Linked DNA regions of Mus musculus: regions 2 and 3 are each reported to be linked to region 1. Evidence: microRNA targets listed by miRTarBase, many of them from high-throughput screens and not tested one by one. Region 1 holds a microRNA gene; each other region holds the end of a gene's coding sequence.

The links. The annotated mature microRNA mmu-miR-24-3p reads UGGCUCAGUUCAGCAGGAACAG and lies in region 1 at 3,637-3,658, shown strand. An mRNA with a match to its seed (bases 2 to 7 or 8) in the 3' UTR can be bound and repressed. Matches are read on the target gene's strand: a 7mer-m8 pairs with bases 2 to 8, a 7mer-A1 pairs with bases 2 to 7 and ends in A, and an 8mer does both.
Region 2: the mRNA of Rab3gap1 is a reported target of mmu-miR-24-3p. Seed matches in the 3' UTR shown: 7mer-A1 at 2,913-2,919.
Region 3: the mRNA of Mdk is a reported target of mmu-miR-24-3p. The part of its 3' UTR that is shown has no 7-base or 8-base seed match.

What each region holds. Positions count from the first base shown.
Region 1 is chr13:63,297,615-63,305,332 of GRCm38, forward strand. Mir24-1 (microRNA 24-1) reads left to right here and starts at 3,594; the gene lies at 3,594-3,661. It overlaps Aopep (aminopeptidase O), which reads left to right. Exons shown (of 16, transcript NM_001289926.1): 16 at 1,098-5,263. The coding sequence ends at 1,238. Mir23b (microRNA 23b) reads left to right here and starts at 2,870; the gene lies at 2,870-2,943. Mir27b (microRNA 27b) reads left to right here and starts at 3,098; the gene lies at 3,098-3,170. It also overlaps Mir3074-1 and a transcript of Fancc not described here.
Region 2 is chr1:127,939,805-127,947,522 of GRCm38, forward strand. It overlaps Rab3gap1 (RAB3 GTPase activating protein subunit 1), which reads left to right. Exons shown (of 24, transcript NM_178690.4): 24 at 2,570-4,072. The coding sequence ends at 2,806. Among named protein-coding and RNA genes, the nearest start is that of Gm28800, 17 kb to the right of the region's middle.
Region 3 is chr2:91,925,169-91,932,886 of GRCm38, reverse strand. Mdk (midkine) reads left to right here and starts at 1,028. Exons shown (of 5, transcript NM_001012336.2): 1 at 1,028-1,193; 2 at 1,439-1,515; 3 at 1,633-1,791; 4 at 1,908-2,069; 5 at 2,772-3,082. The coding sequence starts at 1,440. The coding sequence ends at 2,797. It overlaps Chrm4 (cholinergic receptor, muscarinic 4), which reads right to left. Exons shown (of 2, transcript NM_007699.2): 2 at 3,058-5,670. The coding sequence starts at 5,638. The coding sequence ends at 4,199. Dgkz (diacylglycerol kinase zeta) reads left to right here. Exons shown (of 32, transcript NM_001166597.1): 32 at 1-60. It overlaps Gm39876 (a long non-coding RNA gene), which reads right to left and starts at 670. Exons shown (of 2, transcript XR_866530.3): 1 at 588-670; 2 at 1-250.

The DNA of each region.
Region 1 (7,718 bases):
GTGCATACTGTGGGCTGATGGGCTAGAGCCACTTTGAATGGGATGGAAAGTGGGGGTGTGGTGGACAAAAGGACTTTTGACAGAGTCAAAGTGAGGGCTGGTTTTTCCCATAAAGCAAAGGATGTGACTTTTTTACAGCAGAAATGTCACATTTGCACAGTGGAGTAAGAATTGTTTGAGAAAGCAGACAGGAACAGAGCTAAGAGCAGCTCACTGGCATAGCCATGCTGTCTGCTGTACAGGGACCTCCACGCCTCAGCCCCTGCAGGAAAGCTCTTTGGAAGCCGACACTGAGTTTTTATCCTATGCTGCCTTTGAAACACTTGAATTTGAAGCAGAATGTAACCCTTGAGAAACTCCATAGAACAAGAAAGCGGGCAGAACTTGCAGAATGTAATTGGCTGCTTTTTTAATGTTGGCTCAGTGAGAATTCAAGCCTTTGTAGCATTGTTTTCAAAGCAGAAGAGCCAAGAGTCTGACATTTGGTGGCTGGGTTAGGCCAAAGTGACAGCATCTGCCCTGCCTGCACTGCTGGCCATGTGGTCTCTGTGGCCTGTTAGGTGATGGACTTTGTAAGCAAGCTCATGCCAGCTACCCTTTAGGATGCACTGGCCTGACAGACAAGGTTTTCCATGGTGACCATTTTGAGAGCTCTCTGCCTCTGCCCAGTGTATTCCTGACAATAGCCATCTTGGGATAGCTTGCTACTCGGGCACCGGAGTCGGTTGACAGAATCAATAGAATTCTGTATTTCTGTTGTTTTTTGAGACAAGGTGTCATTGTGTGACTCTGTGTGGCTTAGAACTTGCTATGTAGACCAGGCTGGCCTTGAATTCACAAAGATCGTCCTATTCTTCCTCCCAGTGCTGAGATTAAAGGCCTGTGCTACCATGTTCAGCTTCCATAGAGTGTTGATAAGGACAATGGAGACAGAGTAGAAGGTGCAAGCTTCAGTTGGTCACCTGCACGGCAGCAGGCTCTCTCTCTGTCCTTTGTGCTTTTAGACCAGCTTGTGTAAAGCAATACAAACAAGTCCCCATAAACATGTGCAGCCTCTTACCCCTTTCCCATTCTTCTCTGGCCTTCACGGTCTGCAGGCCATGGGCATATACCTGTATGGGGAGCTGATGGTGAGTGAGGACGCCAGGCTGCAGCAGCTAGCCCACAGGTGCTTTGAGCTGGTGAAGGAACACATGGACAGAGCATCGGCCCAGGTGGTGACTGAAATGCTGTTCTAAAGAGGTAATTCTCTTTTCTTTCTTCTAACCATCCATGTCAATTGGTAAGCCACATGATGAGCCACAGCACCAGAGGGCTGCCAAACGGTCTTGGGGAGGAAGCAGCAAGGTGGGTCCTCAGGAACAGGAAGAAGGCTCAGGATCTCTGGAGCACCTCACCTGCTGGAAGCATGGGTGTGAAGCAGGTACAGCTGAAGGAGCAACAGATCTGGCACTGCTTTAGCCACCCTGGATTTTGCACAGGTCCACAGGCTCCAGGGTCAAGGTCAACACAGCGGTCCATGGCCTCATTGCTCCAGGCTTCAGCATGCAGGCATCTCTCCTAGAGGCTGTGTAAACCTGAGACTCCTTGGCCTCTGGTTCTCTGACCTGTAGAGTAGGCAGCAGGTCTTCTCTGCCCCTCCATCCAAGTGACACTTGCGTCCTAAAGGCAAGTCTGTTTCCATCTCGTGCTGGAACAGGATTTACGCTGGCTCCCAGAGTCCTTGGCTGTGGTGTAACTTGCCTCCTCTGTAGCCAGCTTGTGGACCAGTAATGCAGTTCAGCCACAGGGCGTGGAGTTCTGAGACAGGTGTGGGCTAGTGCGTCTCTTTCATAGTCGCCAGTCATCATCTCTACATCATCCCAGGACATTATCGCTTGCCATGGTGGTACATATGATGTTTACTTTTGTATATGTTTGAAATTTTACATCAATCACTGTGTTACTCTGTTGTTCTCTATGATTACCAATTAATGAATATTTAGAATTGTGTTGCTAATCTTAACCCATTGTCAGACATTAAATTTACATTTTCACATTTCACTTTTATAAAACCCACTTCTGTGTAATGTTTATTTTTCTGAAGAACTACACTGATGAAGGGAAAACATGTTACTATGTATGACCATGTTGTTGCAGAAGAGCTGGGGACCGCCACAGTCAAGCAGGGGAGATAGTGGGCTGGAGTAAGCAGGTACAGCCTGCTAAGCCTGCACACTACAAGCTAGGACGGTGGCCTGTGTGGATAGACAGAGTCGGTCGGGGCGCCTCTTCACTGCCTCCTGCAGACATTTCTCTAGAAACTTGTAAGCTGAGGGATTGTTGGTATGTGGTGTGTGAAGGTCACACAGTAAAGCCACTGTTCCCTTTTTAGGTCCCTAGGCCTTCACTTAGGAAAGCCATAGTCACATAGTGGTCCTAGTGACTCTTCTAAGAGTATTTTTGCCCCCTGAGTGAGCAAATCCTCAACTTGCTAGGTCCCCTATGAGCTCTGTGCTATGCCTCAGCTTATCCAACCAAATGCTTGGTCACAGGCAAGCCAGAGAGATGCTCCCTCCCTACACACCACACCTGCTGTCTGAGGGGCCCAGAGACATCCCAACCCATTCAGTCTGCAATTGGAGAACAGGGTGTGTCCCAGGGTTAAAGGCCACATACTCAGAGCAAGGATGGTCCCTAAGGTATTGGTCTCATAGCTGATAAGTGTGTCCTTTGTCTCCCAGTCCCCTATGCTCCTCTATACAGTGCAGCCAGCGCGCTGAAGGACAGCAGGCTGCACTGCTAGCGTGGTGGGCTCAGAGGCGGTTTGGAGGACACTCAGCACATGTGGATGGGAGTGGTTGGGCATGGTGCTGCCCTCACCTGCTCTGGCTGCTTGGGTTCCTGGCATGCTGATTTGTGACTTGAGATTAAAATCACATTGCCAGGGATTACCACGCAACCATGACCTTGGCTGCTCCTGCAGAACCGTGGCTACTTTCTCTCTGCAGTTTGGAGAACAGAGGCGCCTTGTGGCTCTTTGGAAACAAAAGAAGCCAACAGCCTTCGAAGATGCTCACCAGCCCTTTAATTATGGCCGGCGATGACCTCTCTAACAAGGTGCAGAGCTTAGCTGATTGGTGAACAGTGATTGGTTTCCGCTTTGTTCACAGTGGCTAAGTTCTGCACCTGAAGAGAAGGTGAGATGGGGACAGTTAACTTGCAGCTGCCAGGCAGAGGCCACTGCCTGGTGGTCACTCCAGAGGAGGAGAGACCAGCCTGCCTCAAGGCTGTGTTGTCAAGAGTGCAAACAGCGTGCTGACCACCCTTAAGTGTGTCTACAGAAAATACAGTTCTACTGCTAATTAGTTCACTGTAATGTCAAGTGTATTGGGAGTCACAGAAAACTAAACCCAGGTGCATCAAGGAAACTGAGCCAACCTTGTCTCAGCTGATGCCACACGTGATGGGTGGGGGTGTGGTTCTTTGTCCCTGCTGGGCGTGGTGAACTCTTTCTTGTATTTGCAGTCCAGGTCTCCATGTCTCCACAGTCGCTGGCAAGATGATGCCCAGGGCACGCCAGGAGGCACTGCCCAGCTGTGATTGGACCCGCCCTCCGGTGCCTACTGAGCTGATATCAGTTCTCATTTCACACACTGGCTCAGTTCAGCAGGAACAGGAGTCGAGCCCTTGAGCAAAAAGCCTACCCATCTGTAAGTGCCTGAGGCAGGCCTCCCACGGAGAAGAAGATGAAGGGCCTGAGTGTCTGGTACCAGACCCAACAGCAGTGGTATCCCTCTGTATGTGCTCCCGAGGTGGGGATTTGTAGAGTGCAGAGCTAACCTTGGAAAGTTTGCATTCCCTAGAAGCAGGTAGGGCAGGCGCTGAGCATTTGCCACGTGTTGGGGCAGAGCACACCATGTCACCGCTGCCTTGAGCAGTGAGAATGCCTGTCTGAAGGGCCTTGTCTGTAGAGCCTTTCTGAACCTCTCTGGGCTTCACAGCCCTGCATGGCCTGTGCCGTGACTGTGCACCCCAGACCCAGGATTGTGAGGTGTGGCTTCAGTGTTGCCCCTGTCCTCCCATGAAAAGTTCCCTCTCAAGTGGAGGTCAGAGGCTGGGAGGACTCCTGTTGGAATGGCTGTGGTGACTGGGTAATAAATTTTATTGCTGTTTCCTCCACAGGACAGATCACAGTGAGATTCTCATATACCTTCTCCTAGCCCTGGTGGGGCCAGGACTGCACTGACCCTGGACATCAAAGGGAGGATTATGTGGCTGCTAAGGCCATCAGCCCACAGCAGTGGTTGGTCCATCTTGGGCTTCCAGAGACTGGGCTCCCGTGGCATATATAAAAGGCGGAGCCTCATAAACTGTTGCACCTGGCAGCTGCCTTTGTTCCCAGTCCTAGAGAGACTGAGTCTACACACTGGAATTGAGCTGTGACTTTAAGGCAGTCATTCAATGAAGGACACCCTCCCCTAGGCAGATGGAGAGCCGGTTGCCTGCTTCCTGTGATTGCAAAAACTAGCTGCCATGCTCTGAGACTGCAGAATCATGTGACACCTCCTGTGGCTGGTCCCCAAGGATTCTGCAAAGCCCTTTTGATGTGTTCAGTCAACAGAGCATTCCTGTTTTTGAAAATGCAGGAAAGCCTAAAATGTCTTAATAAAGTACCAGATTTGCTAGTGTTCCAGTTTGCTTCTGAATTTGATGCTCCTTAAAAGCAAAGAAGAACGTGTGTCAGAACAGGCACTTTCCACACACTTCCTACCTCCAGGTAATGTTAATTCTAAAAAGGTTGGAAGTAAAGGGAAATTAGTGTGGCTTGGGACTCTGCTCTCTTCCAAATGTGGAGTTTCAGCCAGCCTGGTACTAGCGGAGTCTCAGAACAAGCTCTAAGCTCTTTCAGTCACTGTCTAGAGAACGGTGCTTGAGACTGAGCCATCAGTGCAGTCACATGAGCCCAGCCAAGGCAGAGCGGTGGACAGAGGAACCAGAAGGAGCATCCCACTGGCTGGCCAGGCTTCTGCACCCAGACCTGCTGGGTGACAAAGGCTCTAGGACAGACTGAGAGGAGCGTCCGCACAGAACCATTGGTTTTCAGAGCCTGGGCTGTAGCAGTGACTGCATTTGGATGGTTGCAGGGGACTTGCAAATGGTTATCTGCTTTGTATACCACAATGGTACAAGTATCAAAGTGTGTTAATTCTACTTAATGTTACCCTGATTTCTGTGAAGACTTGAAATAAATGGCTGAGTCTATGCCTTCCTGCTCTCAGAAGCACTCTGGCCTTGCTTAGAGGTGGACTAAGAACCACACACCCTGTAAGGCCCCTCTGAGAACCTCAGTGGCCCATACCTCCTCTGAACTGGAGAGAGCAGCCAAGCACTGGTTTAGTCTGGTTTTGTTCTTTGTTCTTAGGAACCACTAAAGCAAAACAAAGCTGTCGCCTAAGGTGGGTTTTGTTCAGGGATCAAGTCCCTTGTCCCCATGGGTCACTGAGCCCTGTGCCTGGCTGTGTCTGGCTTGGGTTCTTGCCAATGGGTTTCAGGTAAGTGGAGATCTCACTGGAACCAGATGCCCATTTCACAGCTTTGGTGAAGGATCTGTGGTAGAGCTGTCCTTTGCCACCTCTGGCTGGGTGCAGAGCAAGCCTATCCTCCCCTCTCCTCTAGTCCCCCACCCCAACAAGTTAGGCAGCAGCTCCTGCCACCCATAGCTGCACCAGAGGCCCATGAGGCTGTGGAAGCAGGCTTCCCTCATCTGGCTGAGACCTCTGGAGTCAAGAAAGTGCAGTCTCCATTCTTCCGTGAGCCACCTGACTTCACAGGACACAGAACATTGCAAACGTTAACTTGTCAAATAGGATGCGAAGCAGGGTCTGAGGGCGGAAGAATGGATGTCTAGGGAGGCTTGACCTCCTCCTCTGAGCTGTCTCACCCAGGGAGGAGTTTGCTCTATAGCATATGGTTCAGGTGATGAGTGAACTGTTGGCGGAGGAAGGATGTGGATCATCACCCAGGCTCCTGCTCCAAACCACAAGTGGGCAGAGCAAGAAGCTGGATCCCTGGGTCAGTGTTTGCTGTAGACCACTCTGTAGTGCTTGGTCTTCAGAGCTTTGGTGTCCAAGCCTTAGGCAGGGGCTTGGAACCCCTCTAAGGAACTCTCCCTCCCACCACTCAGATGTGAGACTGAGCCTGTGTTGAAAGCCTGGAAGCCTGAACCTGAGTCTGCTCCTCTGTCCCTGGAGAGACTGAGACTGTCCTTGGTGGTCAGGCACACTTGTTGCCAGCACTATTTCCATGCCGTTTTCTAGCCTCACTTCATTCCTGGAGGAAGCTGAAGGGTGAGAGAAACCCAATGGGAGCAAAGTGCTCTACCACCAGGCCCATGCCTCCAGTAGGTAGAGGGGCCGGGACAGGAGGATCCGTGTGAGATAACTGCCAAGAGGTGAGTGGGATAGCAGAAACACCAGCCTCTTAACCCTGCCACTGAATACTGTCATCGTCATTGCTAAGCAGATGTCCATCACTTGAGAACAACAGGCCAGGGCTGGGCCAGCCTGTTCTCACTGATCCCACCAGAAATGGCCTCCTTCCAACCAAGACAGCCTAGAGTTACTCCATCTCTTCTCCAGAGGAGACACACCCCTCCGTGTTATCTGGGATGCTTCCGACAAGGATTAGAGCAGGCCTCAACCGGAGTGAGGCCAGGGCTACAGGAAGGGGGTGCATCTAGATCATCTGATGTTGACCCCTGGGCCATGGTTCCCTGCACAGGAGGAAACATCAGTGCCCCCACTGTGGGCTATCCTTCTGCATAGATCCTGAACCCACTGTTTTGTCCCTCTACATAGATCCTGAACCTGGCCTAGGAAGGGAGCCATCCACACTCGGATTTGTAGAAGAGAGTTGAACCCCAGGAAGGGGCAGAGGTTGGCTGGCTGGGAGCTCACCACCTTGTTTGTGAGCCTTTGGACAGAAGCCAAGGGAGAGGTACTGGGAATTCTGGCTGGACCCAGGCAGGAAGAAGGGAAGGGTGGGGTTGAGAAAGTCCCAGAAAGGACTCTGGGCGCTCTGACTCAGCTATTCCAATAGTACTGGAGGATTTTAAAGCATTTATGTATTTATTTATTCAAACGAATTTCACATCAAAAGAATGAAATAATTGATACTATAGCAAGGTATTCTTGCTTGTGGTGAGCAGAAATGTCATAGAATGTCCCCAGGGTAGAAACCAGAAATGGCAGATATCCCAAAGTAAGCAGTCCTTACCAAACGCAGAGGGTTTTTCAGGGTCCACTCCAGGCCAGTGCCAAGTTCCTACCAGGTTTTTCTCCTGACCGTGGCTTAGCAGGACATGGCTACACAAGCCCAGTGAGCGGCCAGCTAGCAGGGGATGCCACACACACAGGGATCTCTGTTATCCACAGCATCACCTTTGCCCCAACTCTCCAAAGCAGCTATGGCCCAGGAAGCAACAGAAAGCAGTACTTAGAGGATGGGATCTGAAGGGTTCACATGCAGAGCTGCTTGCTTCAGTCCTGCTGGTCCCCACCAGGCTTATACAGAGACGGAGCCAGCCAGTACAGGAACAGCACTGGCCTGGTAAGGGAAAGGAGAACACCCCGCCCCAGCTACACCTGCCAAGTAGTCCTGGGTGCTGGGCCTGTGGCCTTAGCTGGCCTGCTCCCTGAGTGGCTGGGCTGCCATACCCATTCCCACAGTATGTAGAC
Region 2 (7,718 bases), not on the chromosome of region 1:
TAAGAGTTTTCTTGGTGCACACCTGGCTTCCTTAGGGTTACTACTGCTGTAATAAAACAGCACAACCAAAAGCAATTTGGGGAGGAAATCTCTGAAGCAAGTCAGAGCAAGAACTCAAACTGGGCAAGAGCTGATGCAGAGGCCATGGAAGGGTGCTGCTTACTGGCTTGCTCAGCAACCCCCTCACCCCATCCCATCAATCAGTAAATAAGAAAATGCCCTGTGGGCTGGATCTTTTGTAAGCATTTTCTCAGTTGAGACTCCCTCCTCTCAGATGACTATAACTTGTGTCAGGTTGACATACAACTAACCAGAACATAGACTAACAGTTGCATCGTCCCTAGAGAGAAACTCAAAATTGCAGTCACACACAGTGACTGAATGCTAAAAGCTAAACACAGAATTACCTTATTGGCTTATACGCTAATGACGGGTAGGAGGCAGCACTGTTCTCCTTTGTCGTCCTCTGATCTGTTCTCACAAGCTCTACCTCTCCGCCATCTAACCCAGAGGCTGACCAGCAGTGTCCTTGTCACTCCTGCTGCTGCGTCTCCTCAGTAGGGAAGACTCAACTCTTTACTAACTTTTGAGAAAATCATGAATTAAGTTTTAAAATCAGAAGTGTCTAGGTCTTTAGTGTTAAGGGTGTTGCTTGTTTGGGGTGATCAGAATTACTCCCCTAAACTGGAACAGTCCCCTCGGTCCTTCCCTGACTACAAAGCTGCTAGAAAAACAAAGATTAGTCATAGTTTCTTCAATCTTGAGCACTTAAGTCTTACACACCAACGGATGTTTCATCACTCGGGCTGCTGTGATCCTCATGGTTTCTACTTCCGGTGTTTATCATATCTAAGAGGCGGACGCTGCCTCTCAGGGGTCCTCCTCAAGACCCTCAGGTTGTGAGTGTATCTCACACAGCACAGCTTCTCAGTCTACCTCAGTAGTCAGCGCTTTCAGAACCCATGTGATGACCAGCACATGGTTGTGTTGTGTTTTAACTCAGCTCTCACTATCTGGCTCAGTGAACTGTTGACTTTATGTAACTTTTCATGGTGAGCAGGTACTCTGTGCCAGTTTTACTAACAAAGGAAGATTTAATTATATTTAAGGCGTAGCTGAATTTTTATAGCACACATTAGCTTCATATTAGAACTTTTCTTCAAAATTATAAACTGTAGGCCCAGTGACACGGCACAGGGGTAAACCCTTGCTGCCAAGTCTTTTGTCAGTTTATTCTCCAGAAGCTACATACCAAATGGTGAGAACCCACTCCTGAAAGCTGTCCTCTGACCTCCATGTGTGTGCTGTGGCATATGCACACATGAGTGCCCCACTCCCACAAGCCCAAAGTGTAAAATATTAGAATTCTGAACTGTAATAAAGTTGACTGAGACCATATAGGTTTGGGTATGTACTTATTTAAATAGAATTCAGCAAAAATAACTGCTTTGTTCCGGTCTTACTAAGTTGAATTATTTCTACACATCTGTCCTTAAATTTATGGTTTGTCAAGCATCTTTTGAAACAGCATCTTGTTTGAAAGAGTGAGGGTTTTCTGTCATTTCCTCATTAAATGACCCTGCACTTCACCTGTTGAGCCGTCAGATGCATGAGCCTGAGCCTCTGCTGGCCATGTGTGGTCTGTGATGTGGTTCTGTGCACCTTCAGTGCCCTTGGATGGAGTCATGCCCACACAGTGCGTGCCATTCCTGATGTGCCCCCGAGTCTGCCCCGGCCCTTAGCTCCCTCGGTCCCTTTCATCACTGTTTCTTTTCTCACCTTTCTCAAGCTGACTGAATCTTCTGATGAGGTAACAACATGGCCTTATGTCCCTCATAGTTCTTTGTCCTTCCCCATCCCTCTAACTTCATAAGGTCATCTTAACTAACCATCTCTAACCGGCTGGATGTGGCATCCCCTCTGGCTGTACAGCTTAACTTGACTTCATGTTTCCATTGCCCAAAGAATTTTCCCAAGCAGTGGAATCATGAAAGAAGGACAGTATTGCGTTCTGAAGGCTCCCATTGGCTGCACTGGTGCAGTTTGAATGTACAAGCAATGCCTTCAGCTTTGAGCACTTTTCCTCTGTGGCTATGGCCATGGGCATCTGTTAGCTTGCTGTCACATTAGATGCCCAGTAGTCAAAGCCAGTGTTCCTGGTTCTAATTTGGCAAGAGAATCTAAAAAAGAACTAGCTGAGAGAGCAGAGATAAAATTGCCTTTCTCGACTTGAAAGTAAGTCTGTCCTGTTAACGTCTAACTCAGATGTGAGTCACTGCCTGCAGAAATGCAGGCACCAGTGCAGCTCTGCCACTGCTGAGGAGCCCCAATGCCCTTGCTTTTCAGAGCAGAGTGCTGGTCACCCACCTCTGCCTGCCTCACTAGTGCCCAAGCTCTTTCCAGCTTTCTGCTTTTCTGTTTTTGTTCTTTTGAGCAATCATAACACACAGTGGATATAATGCATTTCCAAGTGACACAGGTCATTGTGTGTTTCTTGTGTTTATCCATCTGCCCTTGGGTAATGTAGCTTTCGACTGGCTCTTGAATTTGGTGTTCTGTTCTGTTCAAGGCTGCGGCAGTGGCTCTGCCAGAGGAGGAGCTTAAGAAATCAGGCTGCCCAGAGGAGAGAAGACAGACCTTGGTGTCAGACTTCCCACCACCTGCAGGCCGGGAGCTGATCCTGAGGGCCACTGTGCCGCGGCCTGCTCCCTACTCCAAGGCCCTGCCACAGCGTATGTACAGCGTACTCACCAAGGAGGACTTCAGACTCGCGGGTGCCTTTTCCTCAGACACCTCCTTTTTCTAGGGGGAGGAGGAGGAGCGGCAGCTCCTGCCGTGGGCACCTGAGACGCCCTTGTGGAACCAGCAGCAGGAGTCACACCAGCATCCAGAAGCATGTCCAGTACCAAGCTTGAGCCAGATGGATAGATTTGAGGTGTCAGAGACTTCCACCTGGGGGGAGGTGGCCTGTGTTAGGGGAACCTCACATCAGCAGGCCTCTTACCTTGGGGGACAGAGTTTGTTCATTCTCCTGTGACAGTCATCTGTGTAGACACTTAGTAGCTATCCTTACTAGTATTCCATATGCAAGGTAGAGTATCCGTTAACTCACATTCTGGACACTTGCTGGTAGAGCCTTTAGTCCCAGGATCTGTGTTTTTAAACTGCCACGTAGCATTCTGTTTATTCAGTCACCAGATGGATGGTCAGCTTTATTATGCTGTTTCATGAGCATTTGAATATTCTAGGAGAAAGACTAGAATTTCAATTTTTTCCATGCCACTAACCAAATGCATTTCTTCTGATAAATCTGTACATGAAATGTAGCTGCAGATTAGAGCTCTCTCTGTGTGTCTGTCTGTGTGTCTGTCTGTCTGGTAGGATCTCTCGGTCCTCTTGGTTGCACCCCTGCTTTGCACTTTACTTCTCTGCGTTGCTGGTTAGGGATGGTATTTAATGACATCATACGAGCACATGTTGAACACACATCCTGGGAACATAGATCACCATGCAGTTAGTGAGCTGTGGTGTGTGTGCCGAGGCTGTGAGTGGGCTGAAGCACCCGGTGCAGGGGTGATGGCTCTGTCCTCTGCAGCTCAGAATGCATCAGTACGCTGCTGCGGGACCTCTCCTTGGTGATTGTAAATTATTTTGGGACCTAAAATTCCCACTTGAATCCAAAGTAAAAAATGGTTATGGTGAAGTGTAAATTCCGCCTGTGTGATTTTTAAAAATTAATAGACCTACACAAGCCCTGTGTTATTTTTGTAAAAGAAAAAAAAGAGTATATATATATATATTTATCTGTATGGTGTGCACAGACACGTGTCTGTTTGGGTATATGAGGGCCAGGGGCCAACCCCTAGACTTCCCAGCGAGCACTCTTTCCTCTGAAATGCTGGACTTTGCTTCTTAGAAACCCATAGATACGGGCTGAGGCATGAGGGGCCAGAACAAATACAAGACAGGACAGTGTTTGCTTTCCTGGGTATTGATGACAGAACTCTACAGTGTGGGGTTGGTCTAAAATGGCATTGTTTATCTAATAAAACGGACTGCTGTTTATGTGTGGACTTGTGGCTTTTCTCCCCGAGAGCTCTTCTGTTACTTCACTCAGTTCCTGCTGCTTCAGCTCTGTCTGACGTCACTAGGAAGTGTGTGCAGGATGTTCCTCATGCCGCCTTCAGTGTGGCTGTCCATTCTTTTTGGTCTTACTGCTATTCATTTCAGACATTAGAATGTACCTGCTGTATCATTGCTGAACTGATGACACAGAGACAAATGCTACCGCGTGTCAAAAAGCTAGTGTGCAATGTCCCCCTTTCCTCGGCCCTTCCTGAAGGTGGGGAAGACTGAGCTGAGCCCACGATAGCATAGGGTAGTCTGCTCAGGGCAAGTCCATGAAAGGTGGAGCATAGACAACTCTGAAGTGTGCTTAGAGGCGCTGCACACACCCCGTGAGCCCACCCACTCTTCACCAGTGATGGTTGTGGTAAACTGAGAAGGGTTTGTTGGGCTCAGGGTTGAGACCTGCAAAACAATATCTGAGGGTGACTGACCTCTGGAACACGGATACACATCTCTAAGAAAGTTTAAATAAAAATCTCAGAGCAGCACTAGCTGCTCTTGTAGAGGACTGGTTTCAGATCTCAGCACCGCATGGTGGCTGACAACCATTCCTGATGCAGTTCCAAGATCCCGCACACTCTCCTGACCTGTGTGGGCATCACGCAACATGTGCACATATATACAGGCACTGATACGATAAAAAAATCTTTAAACAATGTTTTAGAAGTGTTCTGCAGGACACTCAGTTGCTTATCAACAGAGGTTGTATAAACTGTAGGGAATGGCTGTCACTCAGCTGTGTCGTGTTTGCCTATCAATCACAAGGTGTAGATATGTCCCCGGCACCAGAGAAGACAAAATGACCCAATAGCATAGAATGACAGACGTGGGAGCCATCCAAGCACTTTGTGACTATGAAGTATGGCTGCCCAGATACTTCACCACTTCAAACAGGCCCATGGTAAGGCTCGTTTATGGTCAGAGGTCTCAGACTATGGCGAGCAGGGTGTGGCACAAGTGCACACATATGACAGGGACAGGTAAGGAAGGGGGTGAATATGAATTAGTGTTTGTTCACAGGCTGTGTGGTTTTCTTCTTTCCTTTCCTCTGGCTGCTGGTCTGTGGAATGATGCCCCACCCCATTTAGATGCCCTTTGGCCTTTCTGTGACAACCCTCTGCCCCCACCAAGATACCCAGAGCTCTGAGTTATAAATCAAGTCACTTCTCCATCCAATCATGAGTAAATTACTGAGCCATTCTTTTCCCCAAACATCCTGAGGCCCCATAGTCACCTGTGTACCGCTGTGGGACAGGGCACAGGCCACTATGCTGTGACCTGTCCTTTAGAAGTTGATGCTAGACAATTTTTGCTTATGAAAAAAGGCTTCTTTCAGCCACCACATGAATTCAGTGGACAGTGACCAAAACTCCCAAGTTTGTTAGCCCCTGGGCAGTTTGAGTAGGCTATGACTTGCAAGGACTATTGATTAACCTTTCTGAACCCTAATTTTGGCTTAAAAAAAGGCTTAGCTTTTGCCAGAGTTCTGTAAGGAAGGAACTGTATTCATAGTAGCCCACTGGCACTTTCCTGCAATATCTTGCCTACATGAGACATGGAAATATTTTTAGAGTGTGAATTTCCCACTCTCTGACAGTGGGAGAGGATGGGCCTCTCTCTGGCTGTAGCTAAGCTGACCTGAAGGCTTAGAGGTTGGGCTGGGACCCACCCGGTCCATGTACTTCATGTCTGTCTTTATACCTGTTACTCCAGGGGAGAACTGTAAGCAACAATCGTTTGTCCTATGTTATCAGTTAAATCCTGAACCTAGAAGGGCCTGGATAGATCCAGAGCAGGGTCAGCTCTAGTCACTTGTAGGCACTGTGACATCTATGAAAAATGATCATTTGTCATTTGGCTAACAAAATTGTGCTCAGAGGCAGATATCTACCCAGGGAACCTGGCTGACACCCAAAAGTGGGATGCTAGCTGTCCACAGCTGCGTCTCTCCAACAGCATCAGTACAAAGGCAGGATGTTGGGATGTCCAGATCTCAATGCAGTGGCCACTTACTACTGCAGACCAGTGCATCCCAGAGGCAGAAGCAGGCAGTTTGAGGTCAGCCTGGCCCTGGTCTACAGAGTGAATTCCAGGGCCACACAGAAAAACCCTGTCTCTGAAAAACAAAAAAGCAAAACAAAATGAACAAAAAAAATTATCCCAAGAACTGACATGGGATTCCACATCCTAACTAGAACATGAACCACCCCATGGCATGAGTCAGGGGAAGGAGAACCTGCTAAGCCCACAGGCTGCACAGAAGCTGCTCTGGGGGACAGCAGACACTTGTCCCATAGGCATCAAAGAAAGACAAGAGACAGCTGCACTGCAACCTTCTCACTGTTCTCATTTTCTATTTCTGTGAGATCCTGGAACTGCCCGATGGGAGCATAGGCTTTAACGCACTCTTAAGATACAGGCAATATGCAAGGATTCCTTACACAGGACTTGAACATCACAAAATATTCTAACTGGGTGTGATGGCACACACATTTAATTCCAGCACTCCAGAGGCAGAAGCAGGCAGTTTGAGGTCAGCCTGGCCCTGGTCTACAGAGTGAGTTCCAGGGCCACACAGAAAAACCCTGTCCCTGAAAAACAAAAAAGCAAAACAAAATGAACCAAAAAAAAAAAAAAAATTATTCCAAGAACTGACACGGAATTACATATCCTGTACTGCAAAGCTCACCAGAGTGAAGAGGGCTTGGGTTTGTTTGTTTGTTTTGCTTTTGTTTGTTTTTTTCTTTTCCTTTTGTAGTGTTGGAGATGAAACCCAGGGCCTTGTACACTGGGCATGCACTCAGTTACTCCCCGGAAAAACAGCCTACAGGATGAGAAAAGCCATTCTTGCCAAGTTATGCATCAGACAGGCAATTAATATCCAAGACATATACAGAACTACAAATAGTTCAGGCAGGAGAGATGACAAGTTAACAGCACCAGCTGTTCTTACAGAAAGAGGATTCATGTCTACAGCAGATATTGAAAAACCTCTCTTCATAGGACCAAGAAAAAGCAATTCAGGAACAAGGTATGGGAAGATGCCAGCTCACACACACAGGGCTCAGGCTCAAGGAAATGCCACCTCACACACAGGAGCTGGGCAGAAGCCTGCATCTTATGGGAGCATACATCAGGTGATATCTAGTGTGGCACTTTTTCATGGCTGGCTGGAGTGTAATTGGTACAATTCTGGAAATGATTTTGTATTACCTAAGATGTCAAACAAGCGCGTGCACGTCCTAGAGACTGAATCTAAAGCTCGGGTCCCAGATAGTGTCAGTATCATCTGGGCCCTTATCAGCAATGCAGATCTTTGGGGCTAGGGAGATGGCTCCGTTTATATTGATAAAGGGACCAACGCTCAACCTCCATAAGCCAATAAAAAGCCTGCAGATCCCCAAAGCTTACTCGACAGCAACCCTAGCTCCAGGTTCTGTGAGAAAGAAAGCCTGTCTCAAAAAATTAAGGTGAGCTGGCAACACATGGCTTTTGTTGTTTCTGAAACAGTCTCTCTCTATAGTTCTGTCTGTCCTCCAGCTCCCTATGTAGACCAGGCTGGCCTTAAACTCAGAAGGATCCCGTTTCTG
Region 3 (7,718 bases), not on the chromosome of region 1:
GGGGCTCCCACGGTGACTTGTTTACAGCTGGGTGTGACTCAGTAAAGTGAATTTTTTTTCCTTTCTTGTTTTCTTTTTTTCTTGTTGTGGGGGACTCACATGAGCAATGGTGTGTGCTGGGTAATCCTTGGGGTCGGGGAAATGGCCACCAACATCTCAGATCACTTCGGGAGATGGGTCTGCCCCGATCCTGACCTCTGCCTAGGGCCTTAGGCTCACAGCGCCTGGGGCGGAGCTGATTTTCCCGCTCCTGCAGGGATGATAACAATGAAAGTAAAAGAGGTGGGGCGGGGGCCAGGCTTGGGTTCTTTGGTCTTTTGGCCCTGTGCCCTGGAGCAGTCCCCTCCCCCTGGCTTGTACTGGGGGGGGGGGGGGGGATCTGCTTGAGGTGAGCCTGAGGCCCCAGGGTCAGGGGTGGGCGGTTATCACCTCCGGGGGAAGCCCGGTCTGGAACTTCTCAGACAGCTCTTGTCAGCGACAAGATTTACCAAACTCATTTCTATGTGCTTCCCCATCCCCCCCAACGCCCTTCCCTCCTCCTCCTCCCCCAAACCTGCACTAGAAAAAGGCTCTCGAGCCTTGCTCACCCGGAGCCATCTGAGGTCCCAGGTACCCAGCTCCCTGCCACATCAGAGACCCTTCTTGCACTCTGAGTGAACTGATTAAAAAAAAAAAAAAAAAAAAAAAACCAAGCCGGAGGTGAGCCGGGCCTCGAAGGGAAGGTTCGCGGGTGCGGTGGCCGCCCCGAGCCTGTGACACCAGGACATACTCCCGGGGCCCGCGGTGGGCAAGCGAAGTGGTGACCTGAGAGCTGACAGGCTGCGAGAGGGAAAAGTATAGACAGGCCTAGACCAGGGGAAGGGGAGGGGATAGAGAGCTGGGCCTGCTACGAGGGGACCTGAGCCAGAAGCGCACTGGTAAAACCGAACTCCAGGACCAGAGACCCAGAGATCAGAGGTGAGAGGCACAGACGCGGGAGTCCCGGCTCGGCGAGGGGCGGGAGTGGAGGCGGGGACTAGGGGGGTCTGGGGAGGTGCGGGTTTGGGGGGAGGGGGCGGGTCCTTCCACGGGATGGGGGGAGGGGCGGGGGCCCATGTGACCGGCTCAGACCGGTTCTGGAGACAAAAGGGGCCTTAGCGGCCTTAGCGGGACAGGCCGGAGCGGGAGGGAGCGAAGCATCGAGCAGTGAGCGAGTGAGCGCACGCAGTGGCTGTGGCCCCAGTCCCTTCAGGCGGCTGCTCTGCCACCAAGGGGGCTGAGGTGGGGGTGGGGGTACGCTGAGACATCGGTTCCAAGTCCTCCCTCCGTCTCCCCCTTGTCGGTCCGACGTTTTGGGCCTGGAAAGTGGGACAAGTCAGTCAAGGGTGGGAGGTCCTTCCCGCGGTTCCTAGCGGAGAAGAGACTAGGCGAGAAACTCTAACCCAGGTTTTACCCCTAGGATGCAGCACCGAGGCTTCTTCCTTCTCGCCCTTCTTGCCCTCTTGGTGGTCACGTCCGCGGTGGCCAAAAAAAAAGGTGATGGGATAGGATGGGCTCAGGAGTAAAAGCTGGGGTGGGCAGGTGAGGCAGGCCGTGTGACCAAGTGCTGGTCCGGCACGCCATGTCCTTAACTTTGTTCCTTGCGCCCTGTAGAGAAGGTGAAGAAGGGCAGCGAGTGTTCGGAGTGGACCTGGGGGCCCTGCACCCCCAGCAGCAAGGACTGCGGCATGGGCTTCCGCGAGGGTACCTGTGGGGCCCAGACCCAGCGCGTCCATTGCAAGGTGCCCTGCAACTGGAAGAAGGAATTTGGAGGTGAGGTGGCGCGCGGGAGGAGGGCGGGAAGCCAGAGGGTATGTCCTTATAAACCGGAGGCAGGGAGGACATCCACAACCCTCCTGTCTCTCACCGTGGGGCCACTCTCCCATCAGCCGACTGCAAATACAAGTTTGAGAGCTGGGGGGCGTGTGATGGGAGCACTGGCACCAAAGCCCGCCAAGGGACCCTGAAGAAGGCGCGGTACAATGCCCAGTGCCAGGAGACCATCCGCGTGACTAAGCCCTGCACCTCCAAGACCAAGTCAAAGACCAAAGGTCAGCGAATATGGTGGGGTTGTGGGCCAGGCTACTCCATGCTCTGTCTCTGCAGAGCAGTCTTAAAGTTAGGAATGGGCAGGCACTTGAGGGCCACTCTCAGGAGATGCTAAACCCTCTGCCCAAGTAGGAACTACTCTTTCTGTTGGATCATCCGACCTGGGTTCCTGGGAAAGGCTTGTCTTTGTCAACTGAGGAAGGTGGGGTGGGATCAGGGAGGAGTTAACTCTGCGCTTAAAACTATGGAAAGGCTGTCCCAAAGGTACATGCTGCTACCTGACTCCCAACAGCTATTGAGGCCAGCAGGGCAGAGGTGACTCTGCCCATTTCCCCGGTGAGGAACTTGGAGTACTCTGATCCTAGATGAAAATAGAAAGTTGAAAGTCAGGCTTGGTAGCTCGTGCCTGTAAAAAGCGGCACTTCAGGACTGAGGCAGTAACACTGCCTTGAGTTCAAGGTTACAGACTGAGAGACTTGAGAGTCTGTCTTTAAAGGGGGGGGGGGGGCGCGAGGGTTAAAAAGTTGAACGAATAAAGAAAGGTTTCATATCACATGGCTGCCCTTTCCCACCACTTCCAGGTGAACTGGTCAGTCACCACTAGGGGGCAGGATTTTCTCTCCTTGATGGACATGTCTGCGTTGTCTGGTGAGTCCGAGCTAGGTCACCCACCGCACTAATGCATCTCCGTTATTGTTTTCCAGCCAAGAAAGGAAAAGGAAAGGACTAAGTCAGGAGGCCAGAGAGCCTCCGGCCTCGCCTGGAGCCTGAACGGAGCCCTCCTCTCCCACAGGCCCAAGATATAACCCACCAGTGCCTTTTGTCTTCCTGTCAGCTCTGTCAATCACGCCTGTCCTCTCACGCCCACACCAAGTGCCCAAAGTGGGGAGGGACAAGAGATTCTGGAAAGTGAGCCTCCCCATACCCTCTTTTGTTCTCCCCACCCTGATACTTGTTATTAAGAAATGAATAAAATAAACTCACTTTTTTCCAATAAAAGCTTCTTTTTTAATATATAAAAGCCCCTTCCCAGTTTGCCATGGAGCTCTGTCGGAGGTGGGAAGATGGGGAAAGATGGACTGAGGGGAGCTGAGGGCTATGAAGGAAGTGCTCCCTACAGCTCGTGGAAAAAGAGCAGAACATTTACAAAAAAAAAAAAAAAAAAAAAAAAAGTCTCCCAGGGACCCACAGGGCTGGGGTTAGGGAAGGGGACCTAGGTGACTCACTTGAACTCTGTCCCAGCTCATCAAGAGTTTCTGGTCCAGGCTACTGCAAGTCTGGAATTTTCTCATTGGGGATCCATGAGGGTGCTTGCTTGTGTCATTCGCCACTGTGGGCTGTATGGATCACCAAGTTCCCCACCATCACCTTTCCCTCCTTGGACCCATACCTCCCTCCGCTCAGAGGTAGAGAGGAACACTGCCCACTGCTGTTCATTTGATGTGTGACCTGGGGGGGGGGGTTCTTGACAATTTGACAATAAGATCCACCATTAATTGATTCAGTCCCCTGGAGTCTGTATCTCGGCTTAGCATGGCCTCCCAGTTGCCCTGTCCAGATGACTGCTGGCCAGGGGAGTGCCAAAGGGCTTGGCTTCCCATCCAGAGCCTGGCTGAGCAACAGTGGCAGGGAAGTCCCTCACCTTGGAGTGGGACTTGGGGGCAGGGGAAGGGCTGAGCCTACATGCAAGGGAGAGGAGGGCGCAGGAAGGCGGAAAGCACCGATTACAGCATAACGGGGGACCCCACCCTTGCAAGCCTGGCTCCTTTTGCTCCTCTCAAGATGCTCCCAAGTTCTGCTCTATTCATCCACCTCCACCGATGGTTGGCCTTGATAGAGCCACTGCCCACTCCAGCCATCGTCCCCCATCTTCCTGAGGCAAGGTAAAAGATATGGGCCAGGTGGTGCCAGTTCAGACCGTCCCTGGGCCGAGCCTCCTAGGCTTCAGTAGAGATCTGCTCTCCCATCCCAGCGAAGAGCCTCTTGTACCTCACGGTGTCTGGGAGACCTGTTCTCTTCAGCAGATGCGAACTCAGAGTGGGGCCGCCTACTCTCTCCTCCACAGCCGGTGAGCCATGTGGTTCCCCGGTACACACTCTTGACACCAGCACCTCCTAAGGCACCTGCCCGTCTACCTGGCTGTGCCGATGTTCCGATACTGGCACAGCAAAAGGTGCCGGAAGGTCTTTTTGAAAGTGGCATTGCAGAGTGCATAGCAGGCAGGGTTGATCGTGCTGTTGACGTAGCAGAGCCAGTAGCCGATGGACCACACCCTTTCGGGGATACAGCTCTGGCAAAAGGTGTTCACCAGGACCATGACATTGTAGGGTGTCCAGGTGAGGATGAAGGCCAGCAGAATGGCAAAGATTGTCCGAGTCACTTTGCGCTCCCGGGCCGCCATCTGCCGCTTCTTGCGCACCTGGTTACGAGCGATGCTGGCAAACTTTCGGGCCACATTGGCTGCTGGGCGCATACCAGCTGGCGTGGCAGGTACGATCTCGATGGCAGTCACACATTCACTGCCTGTCTGCTTTGTCACAATTTGGATCTTGGACCACTTGGAGGCTGGGTTGAGGGTTCGTGGCTGCAGGGTAGGAGCGGGCAGCGCTGGTGTGGTGGCGGCCTCTGTGGTGGACAGCTCTGTGGGTGGCCGTTCCTTGGTGTTCTGGGTGGCACTGCCTGAGCTGGACTCATTGGAAGTGTCCTTGTCAGCCACTGGGCGTGGAGGCGGGGGCAGGGCTGGCGGAGGAGCCTCTTCTAGCTTCCCGTTGCGCAGTTCCTCTCGAGAAGCGCCCCCTGGTGGAGGTTTCTTAATGCTCGGCTTCATCAGAGGGCTCTTGAGGAAAGCCAGAGTCTTGGCCTTCTTCTCCTTGGGGCCCTCGGGTCGATGCTTGTGAACACGGCTGCGGCTGGCCAGCGAGATATGAATATACAGCACCGTCATGATGACCACAGGCAGGTAGAAGGCAGCAATGGCTGTGCCGAAGGTCACCGCCGGGTTGGACAAGAACTGGATGAAGCACTGGTTATCAGGCACTGTCCTCTTGCCCACCACAAACTGCCAGAACAAGATGGCAGGGGCCCAGAGTACAAAGGACAAGACCCAGGCGGCTGCAATCATGAGGCCTGCCATCTTAGTAGTGCGGCGGGCTGGATAGGTGAGGGGCTTGGTGACGCAGAAATAGCGGTCAAAGCTGATGATGAGAAGGTTCATGACAGAGGCATTGCTCACCACATAGTCCAGGGCCAGCCACAGGTCACAGACCACGGCACCCAGGGGCCAGTAGCCCTTGATGATGTATAAGGTGTAAAGGTTCATAGAGAACGCCCCTATGATGAGATCTGCACACGCCAGGCTGAACAGGAAGTAGTTGTTGACTGTCTGCAACTGCCTGTTGACCTTGATGGACAGCATCACCAGGATGTTACCCACCACAGTCACCAGGCTCAGGGAACCAGTCACTGTCGCAATGAACACCATCTCCACTGTCTCCAGGTGGTTGTGGGCTGTTGTGACCAGGCGCACAGACTGATTGGCTGAGCTGCCATTGACAGGTGTGAAGTTCGCCATGCTGAACCCAACTGGAGACAGGTGGGCAGTGGCTGGAGGAGGAAGGAGACAGCACAGAAGTGAATGGTGGAAGAGGATGGGGGAGGGGGGAGGGGGGGAGGAGTCACAAACTGTGGCTGGAGGAACTTTATCCAGGAAAATGTCAGGGCTCCCTGTGCCAACCATTCCTGAGTTCTCAGTCCTCTACCGTTTACTGGAAGCTTCCTCAGGCAAGTACTGTAATCAGCTCAGGGCTGAGGTTATAAAAGTGAATGAACACACATGGTCCCCATCTCAGAATGGATCATCTAGTTTTGGGGGGAAACAGAAACACATGGCGGGGGAGGGGGACACTGCTAGAAAGAAGATGGTGAAGGGAAGGCTGAGAGAGAAGACGGGAGAGAACTTGGTGCTTGCTGGCTGATCACCGGCCTCACCCTGAAGATGACGCAGATGAGGGCAAGGAGGAAAGCTGGTGGGAAGGAAGGCAAGGAGATACGGCAAAGGCCCAGAGACAGAGCTCAGGAAAGCAAGGGGCATGAGGAAATGGCCCCAAGGACTTGAAGCAGGCAGCGGGGCCAAATGTCTAGTTGTTTGCCCACTCAGGCCTGTCACTTCCCAACCCCTGTTTTTTGGTTACTGAAGGTTGTAGACAAAGCTATACACATGGCAGACATGTGCCACACACGTGTACCGCTGAGCTACATCTGCAGCCCCACTTGCTCATCTCTTTTCTTTCTTCTTCTTCCTTTAATTTTTTTGTTTGTTTGTTTTTGAAAGAAGGTCTTACTGTGTAGACCTGGCTGACCTCAAAGTCACAGGCCTTGATCTGCCTGCCTCTGCCTCTAGAGGACCAGAACTGCAGGTATGCTCCACCATGTCCAGCCACGTGGACATTTCTTAACCAATCGTGGCCAAGGGAGATTTGTTCTCCCATTCCTACACTGTCGTCGTCATCATCACCACCACCACCACCATCATCATCATCGCAGCCAGCATAGATTGTCTACTGAGTTCCTGCACTCTGTGTTTCCTCACAACCGAAGGCAGATATTGAGGAAACAGGCTCAGAGGTGTTAAATAAGGTTCCACATTTCCTTGACATCCTGTGGCTGCTCCAGTGCATTTGGGAGCAAGGAGAGCAGTCAAGAAAGACACAGGACCTGATGGTTCTAAGGGCTAGGGAGGTCACGCTAGCGACCAGAGGAGGTGAGGTGGGAGCTGGGACACCTGGAAGAGGAAGAATAGGAAAGGGACTAGAGAGATGACGCAGGAAGTTCAGCTTCGCCTGCCCAGCCCAGTCCCAGGGGTGAAGAATGGACAGAGTGGGGGCTGTTAGATCCCCAGCAAAGAAATCAGAAGCCTGAAAGACACAGCAGCTGAAGAAGGGTCTATTTGATTTCCCAAGAACTAAGGACAAGCTCCCTCGTGGAGCCAAAAGATGAGGGAATTACCCCGGAGCCAGCCTAAGAGTTCACATCCCACACAGAGGATGACCCAGCTAAAGTCCTACAGAGCCCCTCCCCAGAGTTTGCCTTCCCTCCCACCAGGCTCCCTTCATCTCTCCTCCTCCCCTTCCTCTTCCATACATGTGAGGGAGGCCCACGCCCAGCACGCTGTGCCAGGGCAGCCGCTCAGCCCAGCCTCCTTCACACCCGCCAACACACAAGCATTCCACATACGCACAAAGGCACCATCTCAGCCACACGCAGGTCGTATACGCAGTCCTGTGCGTCTGTGTGTGCATCTGTGTGTGTGTGCGTGCACGCGCGTGCATGCGAGCCTGTGTGTGTGTGTAAGAGGAAGAGAGGGTGCAGCAGCCAGCTGTGGAGGAACAGGCGCCAAGTCTGCAGCTTGGGTTCAATAGTAGGCCAGCAAGGTCTAGCTGTACAGTCCGAGGAGAACCATTTGCCCTCTGAGAACTAGTTCTGTCATTTACAAAATAGAGGATCTTGTCCCACTATGGCCTTTGAACAGCCAGGGGACCCCCTTAGCACCTCAGCTTGCTCTCCAACTGGAAATGGCACCAGCCAAGCTTGGGCCAAGCTCTCCAGCTCCAACACAAGAGATACAAGAGATTGCCTTCTGGCTTCAAAGTTAA